Linked DNA regions of Oryzias latipes. The protein of the gene in region 1 purifies or fractionates together with the protein of each later gene. This does not show direct contact. Links are inferred from orthologs where the notes say so. Each region holds a gene or a part of one and is shown on either strand. Other genes may lie near its edges.

Evidence for each region.
Region 2: the proteins of hspbp1 (region 1) and edrf1 purify together in Homo sapiens (affinity purification with mass spectrometry; 3 studies listed by BioGRID and IntAct, counting the BioPlex papers as one, with this or other methods). This does not show direct contact. The link is inferred for Oryzias latipes from reciprocal best matches to the Homo sapiens genes HSPBP1 and EDRF1.

The regions. Positions count from the first base shown.
Region 1 is NC_019866.2:14,512,339-14,516,785, reverse strand, and holds the start of hspbp1 (hsp70-binding protein 1), read left to right. Parts: upstream 1-1,371; 5' UTR 1,372-1,495; exon of another isoform or gene 1,496-1,499; intron 1,500-1,694; exon of another isoform or gene 1,695-1,699; 5' UTR 1,700-1,719; coding exon 1,720-1,842; intron 1,843-2,406; coding exon 2,407-2,623; intron 2,624-2,724; coding exon 2,725-2,949; intron 2,950-3,059; coding exon 3,060-3,215; intron 3,216-4,447. Other genes in the region: tufm (elongation factor Tu, mitochondrial), read right to left, coding at 654-690. UniProt on the Homo sapiens protein: Inhibits HSPA1A chaperone activity by changing the conformation of the ATP-binding domain of HSPA1A and interfering with ATP binding. Interferes with ubiquitination mediated by STUB1 and inhibits chaperone-assisted degradation of immature CFTR.
Region 2 is NC_019873.2:19,100,960-19,105,369, forward strand, and holds the start of edrf1 (erythroid differentiation-related factor 1), read left to right. Parts: upstream 1-1,307; 5' UTR 1,308-1,710; coding exon 1,711-1,809; intron 1,810-2,035; coding exon 2,036-2,232; intron 2,233-2,448; coding exon 2,449-2,515; intron 2,516-2,598; coding exon 2,599-2,724; intron 2,725-2,813; coding exon 2,814-2,938; intron 2,939-3,053; coding exon 3,054-3,198; intron 3,199-3,371; coding exon 3,372-3,473; intron 3,474-4,069; coding exon 4,070-4,191; intron 4,192-4,320; coding exon 4,321-4,410. UniProt on the Homo sapiens protein: Transcription factor involved in erythroid differentiation. Involved in transcriptional activation of the globin gene.

The DNA.
Region 1 (4,447 bases):
AAATACGAGTACTCTTTTAATTTGAAGGTTTCTTGAGTTTTTGGTACTTTTGTAAAAATGATAAATGTCAACAAATAAACACGCCCTGTTTATGGCGGACACTTTAAAGACGAAAAACATGAAAAAATTGTGAAATATATGGGGTACATTATTGAAAACAAGGTTGAGAACCACTGGCCTACACAACACAGGTTTCTATTTGGCTTGTGCAAATAAAGTCAGCATCTTGAATTAAACAAATATTGGAGGAAATAAAAAATTGTATACAAAACTAAAGCAATTTAACACAGGCTTTCTTTAGCTAACATGATGAAGATGTCAAACATACAATTCCAACCAGGTTTGAAGGCTGGATACACTCTTTCCAGTGAGATTCTGCAACCGAAATAGTTTTTTATTCGTAAAAACAAAGTTTAAATTGATAACATGTATCATAAATGTTATTTTTTCCTGTCAACCCTGTGGTTAGCTAACCCTCATTATTCTTGGTAACGTGACCTTGCACTGCTATCACAGCAGCAGCATCGTGTTCTTTTAAAAGTCATTTATTCAAAGATTTTATGATAATAAACAGAAAAGCACGTTGCTTTAATCCTACTAGCTCCCTCGAAACAGAAAAATTCATACAACTGAAAACAATTGAACTATTTTACCGGAGAAACACGCTCGAAGCCCTACAAGCGCAGCCATCTTGGACGGTGGCAGTGACCAAAGACTTCCGACATCAAGAGACTTGACGGACCTAACTTCCTCTTTACTCGATCAACCGTCGTCAGTAGATGTATAACCAAAATCAACTATTTACACAAATCAATTAAGATTAAATGTCTTCTTCTTATTATTATTTTTTTTATTGATATATGTACTGCACTGCCAGATGTCTATATTTGTAAGTCGATGATGAAAAAAATGTTTGTAACATTTGAGTCTACGTTTTATTTTTTTGATTTATTTTTATATATTTTTTATTTTAGAACAAAGGTATGAATAAAAAAGTCATACATTTTTTTTCCTGCGAGAATAAGGTTGCTTAGTTTTAATCCAAAAACATTTCTTCAAGTTCAGTGTATGAATGCACATAGTAGATTGCGAAGATACTAATTTCAATTTCACTGATGCTCTTTGGGTGTATAACCTCAATCGGAAGTCTCTATACCGTAATCATGTTAATACTTCAATATAATTTTGACATTAATTATGATGTAATTTAACGTAAGATTGAACTTACATTTTCAAATTAGTACAGTAAAAAACGTTAATCTTAGGACAAAAAATTTAATTTAAAAAAATTAGACAAAGACACCTGACAAAGATATTTTTCCCATGGACTCTTTTGGTGTTTTACGGTAAAAAAAAAAGAGTGCGCATGCGTCAACGGGTGCTGCCTAGAACCTTCCAGTGTGTTCACGTGTTTGTGTTTTTAAGGTTGGACTTGCGGCAACAACTCCTTCATTCAGAAAGATCACTGGACATTAGAGCTAAAGCAGAATAGGACGTAAGTAAGTTTTTTTTACAGCTAGTTTGTTGTTGATGTGCTTTTCATTTTTGTCTTACTTAGCGACCAGTGCTTTTGTCAGAACAGAACTAGCTTGTAAGCTAAATAATTAAAATAGGCTCCCAGAGATAGCCTGTTTTGTTGAAGACATGTATTACCATTTCGCAGGACATATTTGTTAATTGTTCTGTTTTGTCTGCACAGCTGTGAGGACAGAAGAAGACATGTCGGAAGGCGAACAGAACGGCAGGAGATATCCCCGGAATCTTCAGGGGGTTTTACAGATGGCAGTAGATGCTGGACCAGCAGCAGAGGCTCCAACTCCAGTTCAGCCAATGTCAGAGGAGGTAAACCTGCTTGTTTAGGGAATTTCAATTCACTACAGTCCTGAACCTAGTGTTCTTAAACACTGTTTCACCATGTTTATGTGAGGAGGATATTTCATACTAAATAATATGATCAATTGATTTAATTAGTCTCAGTTGAATGAAACATGTATTTATTTGTGAGTTCTTTTCTGAAATCGTTTGGTTTCAAAAGCAGTAAACCCAACCTTTTATATGTGACACTACTTCAACTTCTTTAGTGGAAAAAACAGTTATTTATCGGAATGAAGTAAAATGCTATTAAGAATTTTTAAATGGCATGCATGTTCTTAAATTTAAGAAAGAGTTAAATCAATTCTTTCTTTACCCGATACAATGTTTGATACTGTTCCCTTGTGATTCATTTTTTGTTAAGTATGACCTTAAACATTTTTGTTAAATCTGACCTATAACAACTTTCCCGTTTACTTTTGTAAACGGTTACATTTTAAGATTTAGTTTCATGCGCAGTCCTTGTTTTTATTTGTATTTTTTGCCATTGGGGACTTTGTTTTTGACCAACAACTGCCTTTGCTTTGGGTTCAGAGAAAAACGTGGCTGCGGGAAGCGCTTTCTGAAGTCTGTAAAGGCCAGCTGGATGAAGTAGAACAAATAAAGCAGTGCTTGTCCGTCCTGCGTAAAGAAAATGTGGGTGACAAGGATGAAAATGGAGAAGAAATGAGGGACGAAGATGATGAGGACGAGCGGGAGTCGGCCTTTGAGATGCTGTCAGAGTTGTGCGAGAACCTGGATAATGCTAGAGGTTTGTGATAATCGCTTTTGGAAATGATAGTGAGAGCAGATGTTGACATGATTCCAGATGGTATGGACTAAATTAATTCATCTCTTCTCTGTTTTTTACAGATCTGATGGTGCTTGGTGGACTAGAATTGTGTGTCTCTCGGTATTTGTGTCACGTCCAGAGCGGGCTGAGGTGGCGTGCTGCTGAGCTCATTGCCTCCTGTGCTCAGAACATGCCACAGCTTCAGGACCACCTGCTCAGTATTGGGACTCTTCCAAAGTTGCTTCAACTAACGGATTCTGACCCGAACCCCACCGTCAGGGTCAAAGCACTTTATGCGGTCTCATGTAAGTTCCTGTCTGGCACTCTGACCAAAGCTGCTCTAAGTGTGTCTTTCTAAATGAGTGATGTTGAGCTCCACACAGTTGTCCAACGGTGTAACGCTGTTTGACTGCAGGTTTGGTTCGAGAGCAGGAAGCCGGGCTTCAGGCCTTTTTGGCTCATGATGGATTCTCGGTGCTGATGAGAGGCATGCAGTCTGAAAACGAGAAGCTCCGGACCAAATCTGCTTTCCTCCTGCTAAACCTGTTGACCTCACACCCTGACCAGAAAGGTATGAATAAGGAAAAGCACCTAAACCATCCCCTTTACTCACCTGCTCATTACAGTTTAGAACAGGGGTCGGGAACCTTTTTGGCCAAGAGAGCCATAAATGCCACATATTTTGAAATGTAATTTCGAAAGAGCCATACAATAATGTAGTGTCCCTTCCCCACAGTGAGGCACGGAGACTTAACCTCTTTTAAAGTTCTTTATTCCGATTACTGCAGACCGCAACAAACGCCGTGCAATTAATTCAGCAACTCCTGAATCTCTCCCGCCGAGACGAGAGCGCGTCTCCCAACTTTATATTCCCCCCTCCCGCTGCAGCCCTCCCATTACCCTTATTCGGCCCATAGCTGAACCCCATTGGTCCAAACTACCTAACAACAGGCTGAGCGACAGAACTGAGAGCCAATCAGATCTCTGCTTGACGCGTTCAATGAACTCCAGAACTTTTAACGCGACCCAACAGCCATCCAACTCAGTCCGCGACAATTTGTTTAAAACTAAATATACAAATGAATGTGTGCATTTGATTTAATTTCAACATTTTTAAAGTACAATAAGTCTGTGGATTCTTTTTAATAACATTGTTATTCTGTTGCTAATAAATGGTGAGTATTTCTCGTGGTAGTTTTGCTGATGGTCTAGTCTGGTTGATACGTGGTGAGTTTCTGCTTCGTTCAGGCGTTGAGACTTTAAACGTGATCGTAGGTCTGAATGTTCTGTAGATGTGAGACAGACTGATCACATGCAGACGCGGAGCCAAACACACACTCACACGCTGCAGTGAGTGACGGGCAGTGGGTTTTACGTTATTACAATCCCTGCGCGATTCACCTGCTGCCTGTCCCCACAACACCTCACCCCCACCCTCTGCTTTCTCCCTCACACATCCCGTCCCCGCATCTGCGCGCTCTTTCTCAGAGACGGGAGCGTGCAGTTTTAGGTAGTCAATTCACAGGTTTCCAGCTGGTACAAACTCTGTGAAATAATAGATAATACTAACTGATAGCGCTGGTGCAGATTTCTCTCTCTAAGCACCGCTACTACTGCGCGCCTCTGGCATCGCATCGCGCCCGAGAAGGACTGGTCTAATGAAACAAAAAGTATAATTAAAGATTTGTCTGCGAGCCACATGTGACCATCAAAAGAGCCATATATGGCTCGCGAGCCATAGGTTCCCGACCCCTGGTTTAGAATGCGATTCAGACCAACCTTGTGTAGCTGCTTGTTAAACTT
Region 2 (4,410 bases), on another chromosome or scaffold:
GCACTCGAATGCATCTCCGTTACGGTAAAGATGTATTGACAATAAGAATAATGCATTATGGGATATGAACGAAGCACGAAGCCTTCTGTTAAAAGCGATTGCTACCAGTTATGTTAATAAAAGACGTTAACACAGCACGTTCATACTGAAGAGAGTTATACCCTGCAACTCTAAAACATTACATACTGTGACGACCCAGAGTTTGGACAGAGCTGCAGGTGGCCGGCGCCCCCCTCTTTCTGCAAGATGCTAGACCACAGTGTGTGTCAATCAGCGGTGGGCTGATGACTGGTGGGAGAGAGGGGGCGGGGTCTACCTGTGGGTGTGTGTGCGTGTGCGTTCGGTGAACGTTGTCGCTGGAGTTAGAAGAAGCTCGCTGTGCCTGTTGGTTCGTGCTGTAACCGTTCTGAGATACAGAAACATTAATAAAGAGCTGTTTGACAACCGCCCGCCTAAGGAGCTTCCTTGCAGCTACTACAATACTTAAGTTAACGAGGTCTTAGTTGGTCTCACGTCTACGCAGTACACGGCAGGCTCATTCAGTAACAAAAAAATAAATTAAATCGATATGAAACTCACGTAAACTATGTTTTTCATAAGTATAACTTACTTTGTCATTCCTCATGGTGGAAATTCTGTCCTCTGACACATTTCTATCCCTTAAAAAGGAATAAAGAGGCTCCCGCTGATTCTCCATCTTTTCCCACAGGTCATCAAGACGAGAATGAAATGTCCCGCGAGAAGATGACGTTTTACTGTAAACAACTATGTCGTTATTACGAGAAAGTATGTCGTTATAACGAGATACTTTCTCGTTATTACGAGAAGCTGTTCCAAAAAATATTTTTCGCAGTGGCAGCTCAGAGCTTCCGTAATTTTGGAATAAAGTATTCCAAAATACATTACAAAATCATATATTTAGGCATTTGTAAGTTTTTTAAATGTTTTATACGAATACAAAATTTATTTTAAAATGTTTGTAATTTATCATAACAGTGTAAATGCCAAAATAATAATAATAATAATAATAATAATAATAATAATAATAAAAATAATAATGATGACCACGCAACAATTACATGGGGTATAATCATTAAAAGATAATCGACCAACATAGACTGCAAATACTTCCGGTTCAAGATTTTTGTATTTTAGATTTTTAACAGAATTTATTTTTAAATGCATCATTTTACGTTCTAAAATATTTTTGTGAACTTACTTAAAAAAAATTCAAAACATGTTCCACTTCAAAACGTAAAAATACAATCAATGTTGCATTTGGCATTCCTCCAACCGGAAGTCGTTGTTTGTTGACTGCTAAGAAGCGAGTTGGATACAGAAGAGAGGCAAAACAGTGTAAGTTGGGGTTCTGTTGAGCGAAAATAGTGGGAGAAGTTTGAAAGTATAAATTATTATTAATGTGGAGGATATAAAACTAACCATGTGTTTTAGTTGATGTGATTTGAGCTGAATCGTTTTTCTACCTTTGCTAGTAGTGCGGTTTATTTTAGCCTCGCAAGCTCTGGAACTATCTAGAAAGAACCCTGACTTTCTGTTACTACAGATTCGTGCGACAGGTCAGGAGGCAGATCATCGAGTCGGAAGAACGATACGTCATTATCTTAACACCAATTACATATAATAATGTAGCTGTTCGACGAATTATTTCGCTAATTTAAGCGGGAATAATAAAGTGTTGTAGAAAAAAAAATGAGCTCAACAGCTGGCGATGACAGAAATCCTGGGATCCTCCTGGATAATGATAAAGACATTGGAAGTCCTGCCTGCTCAGAGGATTGCAGCAAACGGGTAAGCAACATAAAAGAATGAGCTATATAATTGTTTATATTAATATGTTGTGTTTTTATGTCTTGTTTATACACTAACAAGCAATCCTTGTTTCTATTAGGCTTATTTATGCAGTTATTAGACCTTATTACATAGTCATAGGAAAAATAAACTAAGATTTGTACTTCAAATGTCTGCCTCTCCTGTTTAATTAGAACATGAATGTTTTTGTCTCCTGCTTCACCAGGATCCCACTATGTATTTGGGAAATGGAGAAGTGAAGAGTAGTGCTGTGGTCAAGTACTCTGCTGCCCCCCCCAGCACTTATGCCCTCCCTGAGGAGAAGACGGACCTGAAGCTGCCACCTGCCAACTGGCTGAGGGAAAACCCCCAGCTTGGCAGCGCTGTTTTAGGGTCAAGCAGCAAAAGCAAGCCCTTTTCCAGGTTCCTCATCTATTTCTTAAAGATCCAGTCCCTGAATGATGACATATGACCTTAAGATTTTTGGATTTAGAGTACATTGGGAGGTCCAAATTACATTTTAAAACGTTTTATGTATTTGTTTGAACCTGAAAATCTATTTCTTTTTTTTTCTTTTTAATAACAATTAACCAATTTAAACACATATTGATGTATCACATTTCTTTGTTTTCATTTTAGTTTTGGAATTGCCTATGACTTCATTGATTGTATTGGGAATGGTGTTGATGTGGTATCAGACTCTGAGGTTTGTGGAGAGTTTTCCTTTTTTTTACCTCTCTGACATTTGAAGACATGGCAGACTTTAATGATGGGCTCTATCATCCTCAGAACATCAAGAAACTCTTGAAGATTCCTTACAGCAAGTCCCACGTTAGCATGGCTGTTCACCGGGTTGGAAGGACGTTGCTTGTAGACGAGCTGGACATTCAGGAGCTTTTTAGAAGATCCTCTCAGGTAGATTTGAGGGTGGATCCCTTTTCTACATTCTTCCATTTATATTTTATTTTTGACAGTAATGTGTTTTTTTTTAATGCAATGTTTAGACAGGAGACTGGACATGGCTTAAAGATTTTTACCAGCGTCTAAATGATCAGAAATGGCAGCGGAAGAAAAAGAGTAAAGAGCACTGGTATCAGAAAGCCATCCTGTCAAAGTTTCTCTACTACAGGTAAGTTTTTGTTTAGGATAGTGTTAGATATAATTTGGTGCAATGTTCTACTTAAGGGCGTGTTTCTTGTTACATAATCTGTCCAAAAATCACATGTTTTTCTTTGTTTCTGCAGCATAAATGGTGATGGGGCTGCAGAGCCTGTGTTAGACAACATGAATGAGGGGGATGATGACAAAAATGCTGAAGAGTGCAGCTCCTCGTGGCCTGCAACCTTTACCAGCCCATCAGATGCTCAAGAATCAGAAATTCCTGAACAGGTAGCTTTACTAGTGAGCTCAATAAGTATGGTCGGGTCAAAAAGCTGTTTTCAGACAGTGAGAATTTTTGTGGCGGGCAAGAATTTTTTTTTTTTTTTTTTTTAGTTTGTTTTCAGTTCAATTACATAATGCCCAAAAATATAATGAACACACTGATGCCTTTTGATACTCAGGAAGGTGTTTCTGCGGACAGTAAATTTGCTCTGGGCCAGGTGACATCAGTATTAAAAGAGCAAAACCTCCCTGCTCTCTTCAATGAAGGCGAGAACAGCCAGGTAACAAAGTTCTATTCAAATGTCTGGAATTTCACCACAAACAAGAGCTGGATATTGTTTTTATTTTCAAAGATTATTCAATGTGTTTATAATTTCGAAATAAAAAGGAAAGTTTAAGAAATATTTAACCGTTATTTGCATTCATTTAGCTTTGATCGACTCAGGATATTAAATGACTACTCCGGCCACAAGGTGGCAGTATTCCTTATCATTATGACTAGGTGCATATAAAATACTATGAAGAGTATAATAATAGAACAACACAGCGTCACCTAAGAGTGAAGAGATATAAGAAGCACCACTGAGGGTTGCAAAGGATATGAGGTGAAAACACATTTGTGAGGTTTTTTGTTTATTTAAGCTTTGAATTTTATAAAGATCAGCACTATCTGATATACTTATGTTTAAACACTTTTCATACTGGATTTGATGTATTGTTCGCGTATTTTTATCAAATGAATTGATTGGAAAAAAGTACAAGACTGTGTTTTATGGAAAAATGGGGGGAAGATTGTTGAAAAATTAAACAAAGATTGTGATATTGATTACTGTTAAATTCTTTCTGTACAAGTTTTGACGACTTGCATTCTTTGCAGGGTTTAAGGAATGACTTTGTGCGAAACATCATGTGGACCTTTGAGGACATCCACATGCTGGTTGGATCCAACATGCCCATATTTGGAGGTGGTCGATACCCCGCTGTCAGTCTGAAGCTAAGGTTTCAATCATCATCCAGTTAAAAAAAGTCTATAATTTTAAGGCAGATTGATTATATACTTATTCTAATTTTATCTGTTTATAACTTCTTTTTTTTTCTTTTAACTAACCATTAGCGTCTGTTTTTCAGGGACAGCAATAAACCAATCAACATTTTGACAGGTATTGACTACTGGCTGGACAACCTGATGTGCAATGTCCCAGAACTGGTTATGTGTTT